Linked DNA regions of Diceros bicornis minor. The protein of the gene in region 1 interacts with the protein of each later gene in a pairwise test. Links are inferred from orthologs where the notes say so. Each region holds a gene or a part of one and is shown in the gene's direction. Other genes may lie near its edges.

Evidence for each region.
Region 2: the proteins of AQP1 (region 1) and RGS17 interact in binary tests that used the Homo sapiens proteins (3 or more experiments, as listed by UniProt). The two-hybrid records come from large-scale screens. The link is inferred for Diceros bicornis minor from reciprocal best matches to the Homo sapiens genes AQP1 and RGS17.

What each region holds. Positions count from the first base shown.
Region 1 is NC_080742.1:55,186,308-55,196,301, forward strand, and holds the start of AQP1 (aquaporin-1), read left to right. Parts: upstream 1-5,424; 5' UTR 5,425-5,465; coding exon 5,466-5,855; intron 5,856-9,994. UniProt on the Homo sapiens protein: Forms a water channel that facilitates the transport of water across cell membranes, playing a crucial role in water homeostasis in various tissues.
Region 2 is NC_080778.1:15,790,099-15,799,304, forward strand, and holds the start of RGS17 (regulator of G-protein signaling 17), read left to right. Parts: upstream 1-5,363; 5' UTR 5,364-5,464; intron 5,465-9,206. UniProt on the Homo sapiens protein: Regulates G protein-coupled receptor signaling cascades, including signaling via muscarinic acetylcholine receptor CHRM2 and dopamine receptor DRD2.

The sequences.
Region 1 (9,994 bases):
TCTCTGCTCCCATTCCTGGACGTGGTGTGATAAGCTCTCATAGATGCTAGCCAGGCCAGACAACTTTTCCGTCCTTTCTCTCTAGCTCCTTCTCTGTGGCATCAAGTGGGGCTATTGCTGTCGAGTTGGAAAAACATCAAAATAGAAAATCCTGCCTTCCAGAAATGGGTTTGCAATTGCGTCTGTTCCCCCCACCCCCACCCCAAGCAACAATAAGCCTAGATATTGCTCAGGGCGGGCAGCGGTGAGGGTGAGGGCAGCGAGAAGAGAACAGGAGGCAGCCGTTCAGAAAATTACTAAATTGTTCCGCCTCTGATGAATCACTGGTCGCCCGCTAAATCCGGTTTTGATTTAAGGGAGATTGTGTGAGGCCTAAATTATCTGTTAGACAGAGAGGAATTCACTTGCTTTGAGAGGTGGGAACCGGATGGTCAGAGGGCAGATTCTCCCCCAGCATCCCCCGCCACGCCCAGCCTGGTGCTCAGCTCCGCTGGGGGAGCGGAGGACAGGGAAGGAGAAGACCTGGGCCCTGCCCTCGGGCCCAGCCTCACCCCACGGGGCCGTGAGGGGACAGTCCGGGGTCGGGGGTCGGGCACAACCTTCACTGTGGGTGCTGCTGTGGAGGCGGGGGTCAGGGGCAGCTGTGCCTCTAGGAAGGAGGAGGTAGGATGTGAGGAGGAAGAGTGTGCATGCAGACACCCAGGGGCAGAGAGCCTGTGGCACGGGAACCGGACCCTTGCCTGGGGTTGGGAAGGGCTGGTGGCAAGTGCCATACCAGGTGGCAAGTGGAGAGCCTTGAGGACCAGGCCAAGGAGTTTGAGGGGACATCCTGTCTCCTTTTTGGTCTTTGTGCCCTGGGCCTGGGTCCCTCCTCTGCTCCACCTCAGAGGGGATTGGCCATGCCTCCCAGGAAGGATGACTTCATGCTAGAGCCAAATGCCCTGTGTGGGGCTGGGGGAGATAGGCTGTGTCTGAGCAGCCAAGGGCCAGGGGCAGCAGGTCCTAGATCAAGGTCGCAGGCATTCTCCGGGCAGGGCGTTCTCTGATTTTCACCACCCCGCTCCAGGACTCTCTTCCTATCCTCCATGAGTGCCCTCTGCCTCCATTCTGGAAAGCCTGAGCCATTCTGGAAAATTCATCCAGGCTGCTGGTGAGCCGATGGTGCCTGGATGGTCGCGGCCAGCCTGTTATTTGAGTCCCTTCCCACCCCAAGCTCCACCCTCTGGGTGGGCCTCCTGGAGGGAATGAAATCATTGTTTCCCACAACCCAGCCTGCGGGTGAGAAATCCCTGCCTGGCCCAGAAGGCAGGGTCCATGCCCCTCAGCTCCTCTGCTCTGTGCTCCACAGAAGCTTCTGGCTAAGAGAGTGACAGCCGTGGCCACACTCATGGGCGTCTTCTCCCCACGCAGCCCGAGGTCCGGACGCTTGGCCGACACCTGAGCCTCTGTGCACCCACCTCTGGAAAAGCCTGAGACTCTCCCCCTGGATTCCAATGGGGACGGAGCCCAGACTGTCCTGGGAACAGCCAGCTCTGACTGGAATTCGGGTCTCACTGGGCACATCAGGAATAAGGCACATCTGGAAAAGCGTTTGCTGAGGCTGTTGCTCCAGCAGGGCCAGACAGTGACCAGGCCTGAGTGGCCTCAAGCTCCGCCCAGGCTCAGGAGCTGGGTGGGGGGCAGTCCTCCTTATTTAGCCTGGCTCAGCCCTGTGGGCTCTGGAGGCTGGGCCCATGCCACTGTCCGTGGGAGGGACACGGAGCACGCGGAGTCAGGCCACGCTGGAGGAGGAGCTGGGGTGGAGGCAGCATCCTGCCTCAGAGCCCAAACTCCCAGACTAGGGGGGCTGCAGGGGTGACTCTCGCCTCTCCCGGCTGCTCTATGTGCCCAGTCTTAGCCTGATGCTTCCTTCCCCAACCCTCCACCCCTCGCCCATCCTAGCGCCTCTGGGGCCCGGACCTCTCAGCCTTTGTACTTGTTCCTGAGCAAGCAGAACTGGGGTTTCCCTATGGTAACTGGGCCGGTCAGGGGCCCTTCCTGACAGGCAGGCAGAGAACCAGACTTGGGCTCTGGGAATTAGGTTCTAATCCCAGCTCTGCTTTTCCTTGGCAAATCTCTTACCATCCGAGCCTCCCAGGGTTGTGGGGAAGATGGGCCCTCGGCTAGATGCTGTTTCCTTCCTTCCTCCACTGGTCGGTCTGGATGTGTGGCAGACCAGAGAGAAGGAGATGGAAGGGTTTGGGGCCTTCCTGGGTCTGGGGCTCCAGTGGAGATCTTCTCCCTTCCCATGGAAATGGTCAGGTTATGGCCACAGAGGCCCCTTTGCATTATGGGAGGTGGTGGGTGACTGAGGTGGGCATTATTCTGGAGATGCTTGTGTTCTGATGGCGCCTCCTGGTGACAGCAATGCCGTCATCCAAAGGAATGGAGTTATAATGGTGGCATATGAGGCAGAGGCCATGCTGGTGTGAAGGACGGGGTGGGAGATGCAGGGGGTGGCAGGGGTATTGCCCTGAGGATCCTCCTATCACCCGAAGATTGGCGGGTGCCTAATTTGCCTGGGCAAAAGTGCTTTGCTTACTCTGTGACGCCTGGGTCCCCATCTCCTGCCCTGCTCCAAAGGACACAGGCCTCTCCAAGTACATACACACACACGCACACACACACACACGTGCCCTCTGCAGTCATATACTCTGTCTTCCAGAGTGCCCACACAGGGCCTGCAGGCTCACGTGCTAGAACACAGGCTTCAGGAGGACAATGAGAGGGCCGTCTGGTTCATAGCTGTCTCCCCATTGCCCGGAACGGTGTTTGGCATGTGCCAAGTAAACATTTGTTGGATAAATTTGTACGTCCCAGGGGAATCTCCCCCTCATGCCTGGTAGCACATTCTGTGTTCTCAGCTGCACGGATCCTGACCTGGCCCCGGACACTGTCACGGAACCTGGAGCACACACAGGCCCATACAGGCCCCTCTTCTGTGGTATTGAACCCCCACACCAACCTGCACCCAGTGGCCCCTGCGGGCCTGGTGCCGGCTCTCCCATGCCGCCCTCCTCAAGCCCTCGTGGCTGGGTCCCAGTACCTGCCAGAGTCAGAACTTGACCCTGCACCAAGCAGAGGGCAGGGACAGGTGTGGGCTCTGTTAGGACCTAGAATCTGAGGGGGAAGAAGGAGGATGGCGTGGATGTCTCTCAGTGGACATGGAGCCTGTGGCCTGAAGGGAAACGGTCCTGTCTGGACTGAGGGGAAAAAGGGCTGTCCTCTGAAGCCTGGGCGTGAGGGAACCCCAGCCCTGTGGAAGGAGCTCTGGTCGGAGGTCCCAGAACTGACAGAGAACCCCTCACTGTGGGGCACTGTTGCCACAAGTCCACAGGGCCAGGGGCCAGGGGCCAGGGGCCAGGGCACGAGGAAGCCTCCCGGGGCGTGGAGAGCTGAGCCAGGCCCGCCCAGAGTGGAGGATGTGGAAGAGGTTCCTGGAAGTGGCCCAGTGGGGCTGGCTCCCTCTCTGGATGGTTAATAAGGCACCAATTACCTCTGGCCACCGGGGTTCTCTGAGCAGGCAGGGCCCACCAGCCACCACGCAGACTCCCTGCTCATGTCCACTCCATCCTATACTTACAGATATTTAGGTGGACACAGCTACCCTCCATACTCCGTCCCAAGCGAGCCTCCTGCTCTCAGCAAGCACCAGGCTGATGCCTGGGCGGGTTCATGGCCGGCGCCAGGGTGGCCCTGGTGTGCACTGCAGCTGGCCAGTAGGGTGGCCAGTGGGGGCTGGTGTCATCTTCTGCAGATGGCCCTTGGACAGGAGGCACAAGATCCACGTGCTCATCCTTGCCCTACCCCTGGCATATGCAGAACTCACAGAAGTCCTTCCTCTCACTGGGCTTCAGTTTTTCACCTATAAAATGGGGAGAAGCCAGCACTCACATGTAGGACTGTGGTGGGGCAGGCAGGAGGTGGGAGGAGAGGGCCTCGGAGGCCACTCCCTCCAGGGCCCCGCCTGTCCAGGGCCCTGCCCGCTCCCCTTCACACACTACCCAGCAGCAGGCCGGTGGACTGGGCCTGGGGCTCCTGACGGGACTCCTGGCTCAGGAGTCCAGTTTCTTGCTCAGTTTGTTGGCCACCGCTGGACCTCTGGCTTGGGGAGGCACAGGCACAGGCTGGACTGCAGGGGTCTGCAGAGCAGCCTCTTCCCCTTCCCCCTGCAGGGGTGGGGGGTGGGGGCTGGGAGCTTGTCTGGTCCCTCCCCCTCACCTGCCTGCCCCTCCCTCATCTTTCCCTTTTCCCTGCCTGCCTCTGGGTCCAGTCGTGTCTCCCCTCTTTCCAGTTTGTCTCCTCTCCCTCTGTGCTCCTTCTGTCTCTCTCTCAGCCCTGGCCTGTCTCACTGCCTCTGCCTGGGGATCATCTCTTTCACTTCCATTTTTGTGATGGTTCCGCGTCCCTATAACTCTGCCCTTCATTCTCTGTCTGTCTGTCTGTCTCCTCTCCTCTTCACTGCTCTGTTGGGGCCTCTCCCTTTCTCCCTTGCTCCTTTCTTCTCTCCTGGGCCTTCCAGTCTCCAGGTCAGGCTGCCGTTCCTTCAGTCTCCCCAGAGGTCTGCCGGCTGGACAGCCTTTGAGAGGAAAGTCCTAAACTGCCCTCACCTTCCCCACCTGCCCCCAAAACACTAGTTCAAACTTCTTCCTAGAAACTTGAGGGCTCCCGCAGTGGGGGCTTCCCACACCCTTTCCTATCTCAGGCCTGCCATTGAGAGGGTGGGCCACAGACAAGCTCTCTGCACATTCTGATGCCTCCGTGCCCCCATCAACTGAGGCCTGGCTGGTGGGGCTGGAGGCGTGGGGACATCCCTAAAGTGACATCCAGTGGCCAGGCCTGACCCGGAGTGTGGGAGGCCCAGCCTGCCCCTTTGGACCCCTGGGCCCATGGACTGCAGTCTAAGGCCACTCTGAGGTAGGATGGGGATGCCAGGGCAGCAGGGTCACGGTGCCCGCCTCCAGGGAGGGCAACGTCCACCCGCTGAGTCCAACCCGCCCACCTTGCCACATTTGGAGTGCCTGGCTCTGCCCTTGGGCACCCCCTGAGCTTTGCACACCTGGATTCCTCTGGCCCCCTGAGTGGGGCCAACTTGCAAGAATTTCCCAAAGCCTATTACAGCAGTGGCTGCCTCCTGCCTGCCTCCTCGGGCAGGGCAGGGCTGAGGGCGGAGGGAGAGAGGGAGGGAGGGGGGAGAGGAGGAAAGGAAAAAAAGTTGGCAGGCCGACAGCAGAGCTGTGTCTGCATCCATCGCTGAGAGGAGGCCTGTGCGGTGCGGGGCGGGCCAGGAGCAAGGAGAGGCCTTCCTCCCTTTGTGCCCCCCCCTTCCCCCGGGGCCCTATAAATAGGCCCAGCCTGGGCTGTGGCTCAGCTCTCGGAGGGAGTCGGGCACCAGGCAGCAGTCTCCAGCCAAGACCCCTGCCAGCATGGCCAGCGAGTTCAAGACGAAGCTCTTTTGGAGGGCGGTGGTGGCCGAGTTCCTGGCCATGACCCTCTTCATCTTCATCAGCATTGGTTCCGCCCTGGGCTTCCAATACCCGGTGAAGAACAACCAGACATCAGGTGCAGCCCAGGACAACGTGAAGGTGTCGCTGGCCTTCGGGCTGAGCATCGCCACGCTGGCCCAGAGCGTGGGCCACATCAGCGGCGCCCACCTCAACCCGGCCGTCACGCTGGGGCTGCTGCTCAGCTGCCAGATCAGCATCCTCCGGGCCCTCATGTACATCATCGCCCAGTGTGTGGGCGCCATCGTCGCCACTGCCATTCTCTCGGGTGTCACCTCCTCCCTGCCCGACAACTCGCTTGGCCGCAATGAGGTGAGTGGGCTGGCCTCAGGCTCAGGGGCGTCTAGAATGGTGCTGAGACAGCACTGGTCTCATCCTCTGCCCATTGTGCAGATGGGGACACCGAGGAACAGAGAGAACAGAAGTTGCTGGAGGTCTTGCAGAGTTGGGGCTGGAACTCAGCTCCGCCTGCAGCCCAGCGCCTGTTTTTTGCCAGGACTGAGACCCAGAGAGGAACAGTCTTGCCGGTATCCCCTGTGGGCATCTATTGTGGGAAATAAGCTCTGGAGGCCGCTGAAGTTTGGGCCAGCAGTTCATCACCCCTCGACTGTAGTTTCTTGGCTCCCTGCAGCCCTGCCTGTGCAGGCAGCTCCCTCTGCCTGCAGCCCGGCCACTGGGGAAACTCTGCCCTCAGTCCCCACTCCCCCTGAACCAGATGCCTGGCATGTCTGCAGCCAGGTCTGCAAGTGCGTGAGCAGGACTCCTGTGGGGGGACGCACAGGCCTCCAGGCAGCCTCCACATTCACACAGGTCCCCAGATAAACTGCTTTCAAGGAAAAAGCCCCTCTCGCTCCTCTGTCCCCCAGGAATCAGACAAAGATGGAGGCGGTGGGGGAAACACTTGCTGGCTGTTTGCAGGTGGTTTTCCTGGATTACAGTACGGGGTGGGGCCAGCGCCAGGACATCCCGCCTCCTGTCTGGGCTCTACTCTCTGTGCCCGGCACTGAGAGGTGTGGTGCGCGTGTGTGTGTGTGAACGAGTGTATGCACGTGGATGCCGGTGTGGTTTTCCAAGCTTGTGTAAGCTGTGTGCTCCCCTGTGTGTCTGTTTCTGGAAGTGTGTCTGTGAGCATGTTAGTGCTGGTGTGTGAGTGAGTGTGGGGGTGAGCGTGTACCTGCGTGTGCTCACTGCTCCTGGCTAGAATGGGGCTGGGGGCACTCATGATAAGCAGATGTTGGCAACTGGGTGGCAGCTGCTGAAAAGAATTCCTCCCGGGCTGCTTAGCACAGCTAATTGGCTGTTGGCGGTGGTTGCCTGCTGTCACTTTCCAGCCCCTCAGCCAAGTGCAAACTTAGACCAGGCTTGGGCCACAGCAGGGGGAAATTTGGCCCAAGAGGCTGAGTAAGGTTTGAAGGATGTATCTGAGCGTGGGCCCTGAGGGGAGGGAGAGAGGCAAAGGAGCAGAGAGGAGGAATCAGACCTAGAGAAAGGAGGCTGGCAGGGCCCCCTGTAGGGCAGGTGGGTGTGGCGACAGAAAGGGAGCTGGCTAAGGGCTCGGTGGGTGATTATAGCAACTGTCCTCTTGCTTCCCACCCAAAGTTCAGATCCTGGGGCTGCAGCTGGGGAGGCTCGGTAAAGTCTGGTGCAGAGGGCAGCTGGCACGGCCCTGCCACAGGGGGATTAGCACTTCTTGTGTCACAGTGACCTCTCACCCAGCCCCTTCATGGAGCCAACCGATGCCCGGCCCCAGATTGAAGATTAGCCTGTAGGCTGGAGTTTAGACTTTAGTTCAGGAAGATGTGGCCAGGGTGGGTGTAAGGGATGGTGCTCTGGCAGGCCACATCCCTCCAGGCCTCAGTGTCCAGTGGGGGCAGAGCCAGGTGACCCCAGGGAGTGCCCGCAGAGTAGGGTCAGGTTCACATTTGGGCTCTGCTGGGCATAATGGGGATGGGGAAGGTGTCCTCACAGGGGAGGGATGGAGTCTCCCCCGGCCTTCTGGCCGCCTGTTGACCCTCCCTCTCAAGGGACAGGCAGGCAGGGCATCTGCTGCAGACTTAGCAGTCTCTAACATGGGCATCCAGGCAGACGCAGGAGGGCAGGCACTTCTGGGCCATTTTGATCTGGCCATGCCTGCTCCAGTGTCTCTTCCCCTCTCTGGCCTCCATTTTCCAGAGTCACCCCAATACCTGGGCTGAGTGGGGTTGCAGATGGGGGAGAAAAAGGGGCAGCCTAGTGCGGGGCCAGCCCTGGGCCAGGAGGCAGGCACACTGGGTTCAGGTCCCATCTACTACTTACTTGTTGAGTTTCCTGGAGCTGAGGACCTTGAGGCTCCAAGAGGAGACCTAGTGTCCTAGTGTCCTGGTACGGGCCACGCCCGTACCACCGGCAAGCTCTTTGGGGATGTGTGTTTATTACCCTTCCTGGGAGGGTTTGGCTAAGAGGAGCCAAGAGGGGCCATGCTGAGCATGAGGGCACTGAGTGCTGTGGCGGGGGCCCAGGCACTGCCCTGACCACACGATGGAAGTTTGGGGTCCAGAAGCAAAAGTCCTGGGCCTAGAGACAGAGAAAGTGACCCCCAAGGGCTCCTGTCAGACACTGGACCTGGGATCCGAAGGGACTGGGGGGTGGCCTCAGGGCTTCAAGAGGGGCAGAGTCCAGTCTACCCAGCAGGTGACACACTGTTTCCTCCAGGCCCTGTGGAGGGTCCTGCAGCCCCTTGGGCCCTGGACCCCACCTTGACCCAAACTTGGGTGGAGCTAGTCGTTGGCATGGAGATTTGCAGGGAAAATAGGGAAAGAAGTGGCAGGAAGTGGTTGGGGTGAGTCAGGGGGTGTCCCCCAGGGACATGATGGGGACAACTTTCTGCTCACTGAGTCAGGGCTCAGGATACGCCCTGGAGAGACCACGGGCCTCCATCCAGCCTGCAGGATTCCTGGCTAGTTCTAAGAGCTAAACCCCAATTTCAGCCGAGGGTGAGAGGCAGGGGTTGGTGCCCCAGCCTGCCCTGCCCTAGCTCAGCCACAATACCCTGTGTGACTTGATGCGTGAGCTCCCGGTGTGGCCCTAGTTCCCATCTGTGAAATAGGGACATAGCAGGTTGCACTTGGGCTCTGCGAAATGGAAGATGCTCACTCATGAACCTGGGAGTCCTGCCCATTTACCTGCTCTTTTTACTCTTCCCTTCTGTGGCTTGCTAGCCATGCTCCCTGCAAACACGACCTGGGGCTGCTGTGGGCTGAATGAGGGGCTGAATCACCTGGCTCCCTGCCCTGGGGAAGCCCACAATCCCTGGCGAGATAAGCCCCATGCACAGCTGCCCAGACGAGATAAGCCCCATGCATAGCTGCCCTGTGATATACTGCAGAAGCCATGTGTGATAACAGGTGTCAGGGAGGCCAGGGAGCTTCTGACCTTAAGGGGTGGGGAGGACCAGGAAGGCTTCAGGGCGGAGGTGCCACATGAGCCTGAATGTGGAGACCCTGCTAGGGAAGGGGCTTTCAGTAGAGGAAGTGCATGAACACAGGCAAGGGGGCAGTGGGAGCTCAAGGCCTGGGAGTCATGGGTTGCAGCTGGATTGGGGGTCATGGTGGGAGGCTGGGGCTCCAGAGGGTGGTGAAGCTCGGGACTCAGGCCAGTGTCTGACTGCATCCTAGAGGGAACTGGATTCTTAGCCATCCTGGAGCCTGTGATTTCAGCCCCTTAGCGGGCTCAAGCAGAGGGCAAGCCTCCCCTCTTTGGGGGTCTTCTCTTAGCCCTGCTTATTCTGGGCCTGACTGCCTGGGGATGCTTCTACCTGCTGCATCAGGGCCCAGACCTCAGCCCTAAACATCCCTCAGTTCCAGGCCTCGGTTCCCCCAACCATAGAGTGAGAAGCCCCCCGACTCCATGCCGTCACTTCTCCTGGGGTTGAGGGCCCCTCCTACCTTCTCGAGAGCTGGGGGTAGGCTGGAGAAAGGGAAGCCAGAGTTTTCCGACGGCCATGCCCAGGCCGGCCTGCCCAGGGAGGGGGCTGGCGGCTGGGTGATGGTGCCAGCTGGGACGTATAATTACTGTTTCCAGCCAGAACCAGATGAGGGGGAGGGCACCAAGGGAGGCAAGACCTTTGCGGTGGAGACTTCCCTCACCACGGAAAATTCTGAGCTGTTTCCCCTATTAGAGCCCTCAGGGAAGTCCCACTGGCCCCATGTTGCCCCCTCGATACTAGGCCCTCACCTATCTGAACGGGCGACACTCTGAAGGGGGTGCCTCAGTTTAAGGGACTTGCCTCGCTCCTGCCTCCTGGGCCACAGCCCTCCGCCCCCAATCTGGAGCCATTAGCTCCTTATAGGCCAATTCCATGCAGTTCTCCCCAACCTGAGCTTGGACCTGGACAGTGCTCCCCACTTTCTCTAGGGCCCACCCAGCAGGTGTTCCTGCAGTGTTAGCCCACCAGGGCTTTCCCCAGGCAGGCC
Region 2 (9,206 bases), on another chromosome or scaffold:
TGTGCAGTTGAGAGTTCTGATTATAAAATACACAATTTCCTTTTTCATCACTCTCTGGCCTACCTCCTGGAAAGAAAAGAGAATACCACATTATCTCAAGTGTTCTCATTGATATCTTCTGTTTACTTCATGGATGTAAAACCTATCTCACTTGGATTATAAATCCTCAAGGATAAGAACAATATTTACCACTGTGCTCCTATTCCCTGCAATGCCAGGACAGACACTCTCTAAGAGCTTCTTAAGTGAATGGGTGAATGGATGGAAGGATGGATGGATGGATGGATGGATGGATGGATGGATGGATGGATGAAACTCGAATAGGCAATCATACTATATTAGGTAAATTCTACTAATATTCGAATGGGAAGACTTAGGTGAGACTATAAATGACTTTCATACACTACTTTAACATTCATACTATGAAACTAGTTCACAGAAAATCAAGAAACCAGAGAGCCTTTAACAAAATTTTGCAATGTGAATATAGTTCTTCTGATTTGCAACTTAAGCATATTTCAATATAGAACTCAAAAATTAATCACCTGGACCCTTCTAGATACTAGACATCTTTAGCAAACTATCCTTCTCCACACACAGATACACAAAGATCTGTATTAACCTCACATGTCTCTGAACTTGCTCTGCCATGAAACAAAACATAGCAGAGATGTGAGATACTACTGTGAAATCAAACCACTGCCTCTCTCTACCCTTCCTTCCTTCAGACCCTGGAGGTAGGTCTGACAAAGCAGAAGCCTATTCTACAATCCAGCTACTATCATCTAGAAACCTTCAAAAATCTCAAGATAATATAATATGGACCATTAAGTTCTGGAATTTTTTCTCCATCCACAAAGAATCTGACTGTAATAACTGAATGTCATCATGTTCTCCAGGTGAGATGAACATTTTGCTATTTTTCCATATTTGCTATCATATAATGTTGTCCAACATTATACGGTAGATCTGTTAAACCAAAAAGAATGTGAATATCCAGGATTCATCTAATGAGTACTTTTATAAAGTATTTAGGGTGACTCAAAACCAACTCTATCTTGTTAAGCCATTGTGGGAACTTAGTTATACAAAATTGGGCATAAATGATAAAAATCATACAAAGGTATTTATTTCTACTTCCATGGAATCATCCAATTACATTGAGATATAAATGCACTAATGCTATTCTGAAAGAATAATATTGTGTCTTTTGAGTTCAAGGCTGATAAGTTAAATATTAAGGAAACATTAATAACTAATAATTTATAAAAACTAAAGTGCATATAAAATGTAAAACTCTAATTATACCTCATTTTATATATTTGGGAGAAAGACTATCTTGTGTTTTCTTTTTCTCATCTCCTTCAAATATTGATGAAGAAACACAAGTATTTTCTATCTAAATAAGTTCCCTGAGAAGAGCATGTCTCTAAGGCTTGATTAAAACCAGTTCAAGAAACAGGATAAGCCCGTTTACTAAAAGTAAAGAAAAAGTGATTTTAAGCAGTCATATTCTAACTATCTTTCCGTGCTCCACTCTGGAGAAGTATGCCTGGATGGAGCAGTCAGGGTTTTTTAGATTCAAGCAAATTTCTTCCTTTTCTCTCTGCTTTTCGAAGGTAAAACAGTTGCTTTTAAATAAATGAGCATGTGGGAAAAGAGAATGAAATGTAAAGATGCTACATAATTTCTTCCTGAAAAAACCTTCCAAGGGTATCAAACTCACTGAGGTAGAATCCAGGTCTCCTAACGATGACAAATACCCCTAATTATGAGTAAATGTACTGTAAATATTTTTATGCTCTGTCCTTTTCCAATACCTTCTGTCTGCAAATATCTTGCCTGCAAATCTCCTGTCTGCCTTACTATGAAGTCATTATGCCAAAAATCCTGCTGCTGTATCCAGATTCTCTGCACTTGAAAAACACATCCATAACAGTATGGAAATGATCAGGATCAAATGCTGCTTTCTGTAGTTACCACACAGCTGTTTAATGATGATAAGCTCAATGAGCTCCAAAATTCTGTGTAAAGAGAAGACATTCCCATGGCTGAAATGAACTGAAATCCATTTCTGAGTCATATATAATAATTTTATATAACATTTACAATTTTTGCAAAAAAACTTGAAGACATAATTCCCCGCATATAGTAGACATCAATAAATTTTATTGATCAATAAAGTTTATTGAATTGAATTATTGACCTAGTCATCATCTGATGTCACTGGTGTTGCAGATATTTCCTAAGACCCAGATATACACACAGATTGCAAGTGACCAAACTCTATGAGGTGAAGGTCATTAATGCCATTTGTTCAACATTAAGATCATAGGCGACACGTCCAGTTCCTAGAACACTATCACTGAAGATTCTGGCTAACACATAAAGGATTACACAACAAACCATAGGCATGAAAGAAAGTCACCAAGAGGTTACATTTGACTTTAGCAAGTAAATTATTGGCAGAATAGCCAAGTTGTCCTAGGTGCAAAAAATTGCCCAAGTAGCCATTATTACAATTTAGGGAAGCTCATGGAAGTAAGGATCATTTTTTTATTGAGTATGCTTGTTTTCAAGTTGGTTCTAGGAACACGACTCTGGCGTCTAGTTTAAATGTGTGCCATTACATGGAGCCATCTCTGACAGGGTGGACAGAGGAAACAATGTTGTCTCTCTGTGTACTGCTGGGAAACAAACAAATTGTGACAGGCAGCAATGAGGATCCAAGAAGAAGAAGCATCAGAAAAAATAATAAAATACTTTTTTTAAGTGTGTTATTTATTCATTCAATCATGCATTCATTCACTAAATACTTAGTGAGTAAACAATACGTGCCAAATCTTGTTCTGGGCACCAGAGATAAAAGTGCAGGCAAAGCTCTTGAGATCCTTTATTCTAGAGGAGGATGAGGAGATAATAAACAAGTAAACAAATGCAAGCTGATTCAGATAGTGAAAAGTATCTGGAAGAAATCAAAGCAAGGAGATCTAACAGAGAAGAACCCTGGGGCCAATTAGATCAGGTGGTTAGATAAAGCCTGAGGAGGTGATACTTGAGCAGAGACCTGTAGGATATGAAGGAGCCTACTATGTAAAGATCTAGGAGCAGAGGATTCCAAACAGAAAGAACAGCAAGTACTGTAAGCTAGACTTACTCAAGAGAGTAACAGAAATAGGCCGATGTGGCTATAGCACACATAGGTATGGTCTATGGGAACATGGCGTAAGAGAACTGGGCTGGGACAAGATTATACAGAACCTTCTAGGCTGTGGTAAGGATCAGGGGTTGTATTTAAAGTGCAATGAAAACTCACTGGAAAGTTTTAAGCGGAAGCATGACATGATCTGGTTACGTTTTTAAAAGATCACTCAGCTGTTGTTTGGAGAATGTGTTGTTTGGGGTTGTGGAGGAGACCCCACTGGCGGCTTTTGTAGTAGCTCAGGTGAGAGACGATAGAGGTTTGAACCATCGTTATAGCAATGGAGAGGGAGAGAAGTGGAGGAATTGGGGCTATATTTTGGAGGTGGAGACAACATGGCTAGCTAATTAATTGGATGCTGGCGTGAAAGGAAGAGACAAAACAAGGATGACTTCTAAATTTTTGACGTGAGTAACCGGGTGGAACAGTCTAAAGAGGAACAGGTTTGGAGGGGGCGGGTATCTGGAGTTCTGCTCCTGAGTTGTCAGTTAAACATAATAATAGTATCTACCTTGTAGAGAAAATAAGAAACATATGCAAAACATGTAGATCAGTACCCAGCACACCGTAATTGCTCCATAAATATTAACTATTATAATCATTCTTCAAATGGAGTTGTAAAGGTAGTTGAGGGCATAAAAGAGCTCTGTGAGAGGTGAGGACTGAAGATATAAATCTGGGAGTTACATAGAATTCAGTGCCCCTCAAATCATTTTTGGTGAAGGACTTCTATTTTTTATTTTCAACGCGTCGTGGACCAATACTTTTGTAAAATCCAACAAAAATGAATTACTTTACAAATCAAAAAACAGAAAGTACAGCTGATGAATGTGCTTGGATGTCAAGGCAATGTCAAAGTGCTATAAAAGTTTCTACATCTTACTTTCAATTTCTGTACTTCTCTCTCCTTACAGACCGATAAGGAACAATTTGCAGACCAACACCAGTCCAGGCAATACATTTGGAAGAGCACTAGTCTTCAAAGCCATGATGTAGCGAGAAGGAGGCCCTGGAGCAAACTCTGAGACACACTTAACTCAAGTAGAGGTGGAGAGGTGGGAGGCCAGAGCACGTTCCATAAAGGAGACTGAAATAACAGCACTGTTTGAATACATGAGCACACAAACAATGGGAAATCATATATACTTACAAGTAATTAGTTTGCAATAGGTATAAGAAAAAAGCCTAATCATTCCTGCCAGGAACTCACTCCTCTTCCCACAGATGTCACATCTGAAGAGAAAGACACCCGCTTCCCTAATTCACCCTCACAAACACTTCAATCTAATCATCGGAGATGCAATCTAGCGCTCAGGCTGCATTAAGTAGCCAAAGCTCCTTCACTACCAAGCGGGGCTCCGCTTGTGACTAGAACAATTATCAGACCTGATAGCTACTGAGCTGTCCCTGAAGGATGCTCCAGGCCCCAAGCATCAACACCTCTGTTAATAATTCACGACTCCTGCCTTGTCATCGGCTTCTCTCAATCAAAACTCTGGTTCTAGTGGTCCAGACTCCTGAGACAGAACATATGCCCCAGACCAGAGAGCATCTGAAATAATTCTTAGGGCAAAGGGTCAGATTCCCGGGTGAGGACGTCAATAAACTAAAGAACTCTTCCCAAAGTCGAGTCCTTGGGTAAGCAAAACTTGCTTAACTTCACACTTTCTTGAACCCCCACACAGGGACTGCTTCCACTGGGACCCCGCTGCTGCGGCGCTGTTTTGTTCCTTAAAGACATGCTTCTGGTGTCAAGCAACTCTCCTCAAGCACAGGATGAAACAGACGAGGGCTGCGGGTGAACGTGAAGTTGGAGCCTGGGCGCGAGAGCCTCTCTAATCAAGGAAGGCTCCCAGGTCTCCAAGGCTCCCGCGAAGCCCTGCACCCGCGCCGGGAGCTCCGGCCGAGACCCTCCGCACCGCGGGCGCCGAGCCGCGGGCAGCGCGCGGGGGCCGGGCGGGGCGGTGACTCACGCGGCCGCGCGCCCGGGGAAGAAGCGGCACCTCCGGCCGCGCCGGGCGAGGGGCTGCGCCCGCCCGCGGGGCGCATGCGCGCTGCCGAGCGGCTCCAGCTCCCTCCCCGCCCACCCCTCCCTCCGCCCCCTCTCCCCTCCCCTCCATCCTCGCCTCTCTCCCTCTCTCCTCGCCCGCTGGGTGCTGAAGTTGGGCGGATGGCAGCAAACCGGCTCCGCTAGAGGACCGAGCAGCCCAGCCTCGCGCCCCCGGACCCATCGGTGCGCTGCCCACACCTCCAGGCGGCTGGGTAAGATGCTGGCTCCGAACCCGAGCGGGGCTAAGTAAATGACATCAAAATGTCTGCTTTGCACCGAGGGATGAATTTTTTAAAGGTGGTGGTTGGGGGGGGGGGGAAGTGAAGGAAAGAGGGGGCGGAGAGTGCAACTGCCAGCGCCCTGGCGGGGGAGGCTGCGGGCGCGGGGGGCTCGGCGCTGCTGCCGCGCCGCGGGTGCGAGCGGGGGCCGCGCCGCGGGTTTGGGAAGTTGCGTCCGGCGTTGCTGCCTCGGCGCGGTCCGCTCGCCGCCCTCCAGCTGCGGCGGACGGGCTGGGCGAGTGTCCTGCCCGCCCGGGGAGCCCTCGGTCGGGTCCCCCGCGGAGAGCTGGGCGCCTTCGGGGAACCGGCAGAGGGCCCAGGGCGGCGGAGACCCCGCGGGGGCGCGAGGTCCTGCGGGATTTTTGTGGGGGTTTGTTGGAAAACCGAATGTGAATTGACAGTGTCCAGTCGACCGATCACCTTGGCATGGTATTTTTTCTTTCTTTACCTTTGGGAAAACGCACTATTCAGGTGGGGAAGGTGTAAGCCAAAGGGATTGCAGAAATGCATACCTTGAGCATCGGTGAAATGTCTGAGGTGTGTGTGTGTGTGTAGGGGGTGGGGGTCTCTTTTGTTCTTTGCCCTCTCCTTAGTCGAAGGAAAGGGAGTTCTTGTGTGCTTGGCTTGGGGTAGATTTCACAGCCACCGAGGGGGCGAGGAGGAGGAACGCCCACCAATTCCCTAGCCGCTGCCCAGGTGGGTGTATCCGAGACTCCCCTGCTGTGGGTGATGATTCTTTTTATTATCGATAGAATCACAGTTTAATAGCCTCCCTCCTCCTCTCCTCCTCATGTGCTGCGGCAGAGGCTGGGTGCAGACGCTCGGCCGTTTCCTCTTCTCCCTACCTTCCTGTCTCGGTGAAAAATGTCGGAGGACTTCAGGATGGCGGAGGGACAGAGCTGGCCTCGGAAGCCGCGGATGGGGAGATGCTCCTCGCGAGCTGGAGGCTGCTGGCAGTGCGTCCCGGGCAGCCCGCGCCAGCCTCGGGAATCGCCGGGCTCCCGGGGACAGAGCAGGGGTCTCCTGGCCAAAAGGATGCGCGCCGTGCGGGACCCGCCCTGCGCCCTCCGCCTCCATCCAGAGCCCAGGACACCGGCTCACCTGGGACAATCTCAGTCGCTCTGGCAAGACTGACCCTGGCTCCTGGCATAGTTTTCCTAACCTCTCTGACCCTTTGATAAATGCTTCCTTCTTTAAGCGAGTCACTGGAAGGTTTGTCTAGAGAACTTTGCAATCTTCCCATAGTTTCTTTTTCTTTTTTCAGTTGTTTTACAGCGAGATTACTTCCATCATGGGATGGCTATCACAAGTAATAGAGAGAAATCTTAGAGTTTGGTTCCCGTTTATAATAAGCATTTATAAGACTGGATATCTATCATCTGCATTTCCGGATTTCATACATACTGTTTTTCCGGGTGATGAACCCTTCTGAAAATCATTTAATTGGAGAAAGGAGAAACAGTTTTTACCCTTGTAATGGAAAATAATGTTTTTCTCCTGGTTTCATAGCTGCTAGACACTATGTGTATTAAATAATTTTGAAAACTGTGACACTTTAAGTCAATTGTATTTGTTTCTAAAGTCTTTTGTAGTAATAGCAGGTATCAGTGAAATATACATTATAGCACTAATATCTAATGAAAAGGTGATTCGGACTCATTAATTCAAATGAATGAGCATTTTGATCACCTCCAGTTAAGTCACTATTATTAAGCTGCTTCTTCTGTTAGCATGAACTAAAACAGTAATTAACACACTCATGGAAGAGTAGATTTATTCACTATTTTAAAAATCTTAAAAACTATATTTAGAGAAACCATGAGAAAGTAGTTTATTAACAGTTTTTGGAGATGAGAAAACAAGTGTTTATTATTACAAAAGGATTGGATGGTATCACATTAAATAAGATGAATCTCCATGACAGTGACATCTGATCTCAGAGCCCTGGGCACTCATCCTTTGTCCTGAATTTATAGTCTGAGAGGTTAAGAAAACCACCTAATTTACAGAGCAAATAACATAAGGTGTCTGTGCCGATTTCTACCCTTTTTTCTCTGGTTCCTCAATTACTCCTTGGTGTTTAATTCCCATAGAAGGGAATTAACAAGGAGTTACTTTGCTGTCCAATTCTAAGGAATCCAGCTTTTCCTTCTCAAATAGCTATCTCTTTGCTTTTAGGGATCTTCCTACAGGGTCCTAATTTATTTGAACTCATCATGTTGAAAGTCTAAGTCATTATCATTCCTATGGACTTCTTACACTTTTGCATAATAATAATAATAATAATAATAATAAAACATTTCTTAATATTTCCTACTATGAGGGCCAGGGGCTTTGTAGAAAAGGAGAAATATACACATTCTTACCCATTTGACCTTATTATAACAGCCAAATCTAAATCTAAATTGATAAAAATTCTGGTTGACTCATAGACTAAAAAGTAAGAAAGCGTTTACCTGTGTTCTAGAGATAATGGCCTTCATATTAAAAGTCCATTTGCTGAAAGACATGGGCTTTTCTGAAAAATGAAAGACGGGCATGAACGATGAGATGTGGAACCAAGAGGGATAGGAATCCATCCAGTTGCATTTCTGCTGAGATTCTTTTTTCTGAATATCCAGCTCTGCTTACTTAACAATGAAGATACAGCACTGCATAGAAGGGCAAATGCAAGGACCACTGTACACTCAGTGGATGACAGTAACGCTGTGTGATGTTAAAAAGCATTTTATTTCATCTGATTACTACAGTTAGCGTATAAGCATAAATGCATTGTAGAGGCTTAAAATTGCATGACATTTCCAGGAAGGTGTTCTGGATCCTCAAAAATATTGTAAGTTTTTATGGAAAGCTTAAAAAAATAAAATAATCCTTAGATGTAGGTAGCCAGGACTCAATGTAGATTGATGGATACTCTCACCTTCCCTATCTCGTCCTGTCTTCCCTTATCCCCTAAAGACTTTCCCAATATCCAAAGAAAGTCATTTAGACTGTTATTCCTGCTATTGTGCAAACACCTAGCACAATATCTGGCAAAAGGCGGATGTTAAATAAGTATTTCTTGAATGAAAAAATATTGCAGAATTGACGGGACTCACAAAAGTCTTCCGAGATTTGGGATTACATTTTTAAAAGAGCGCTCATGCTCATTACAATACACTCGTCTAAGATCTAAAGATCACATTCATGGTCCTGCATCTTTGAAGGAAGCAATTTTTAGAACTGTCACTTTGCGAATATGCATGTTTTTACTATAACATTTATATTATGATTTGTTTCCAGATTATAAAAGCAATATATGCTTATTTTTAGGTCCCCTAGAATGCAGAAAAAAATGAATAAAACAGAACATTTAGATTACCTGTGGGCCCTCATGGACATGATGAACATGAGCTTTGGGGGCAGCTGATGTTAACTTGTGTCTTGGCTCCTTCATTTAATAGCTTTGTCACCATGGTCAAGTTAGTTACCTGCTCTGAGCCTCAGTTTCCTCTGGTATACAACAGGGATAAAGACCCACCTTCTAAGATGTTTGCAAGCATGAATATAATTCACTGTATATAAAGTGCTGAACACGTGCCTAGCATATACTGAGTACTCATAATTATCCCAATGCCTAAAGAACCGCTATTGAAAATACTGGTCAGTTTCCCGCCGGTTCATTTCCTATGCATAA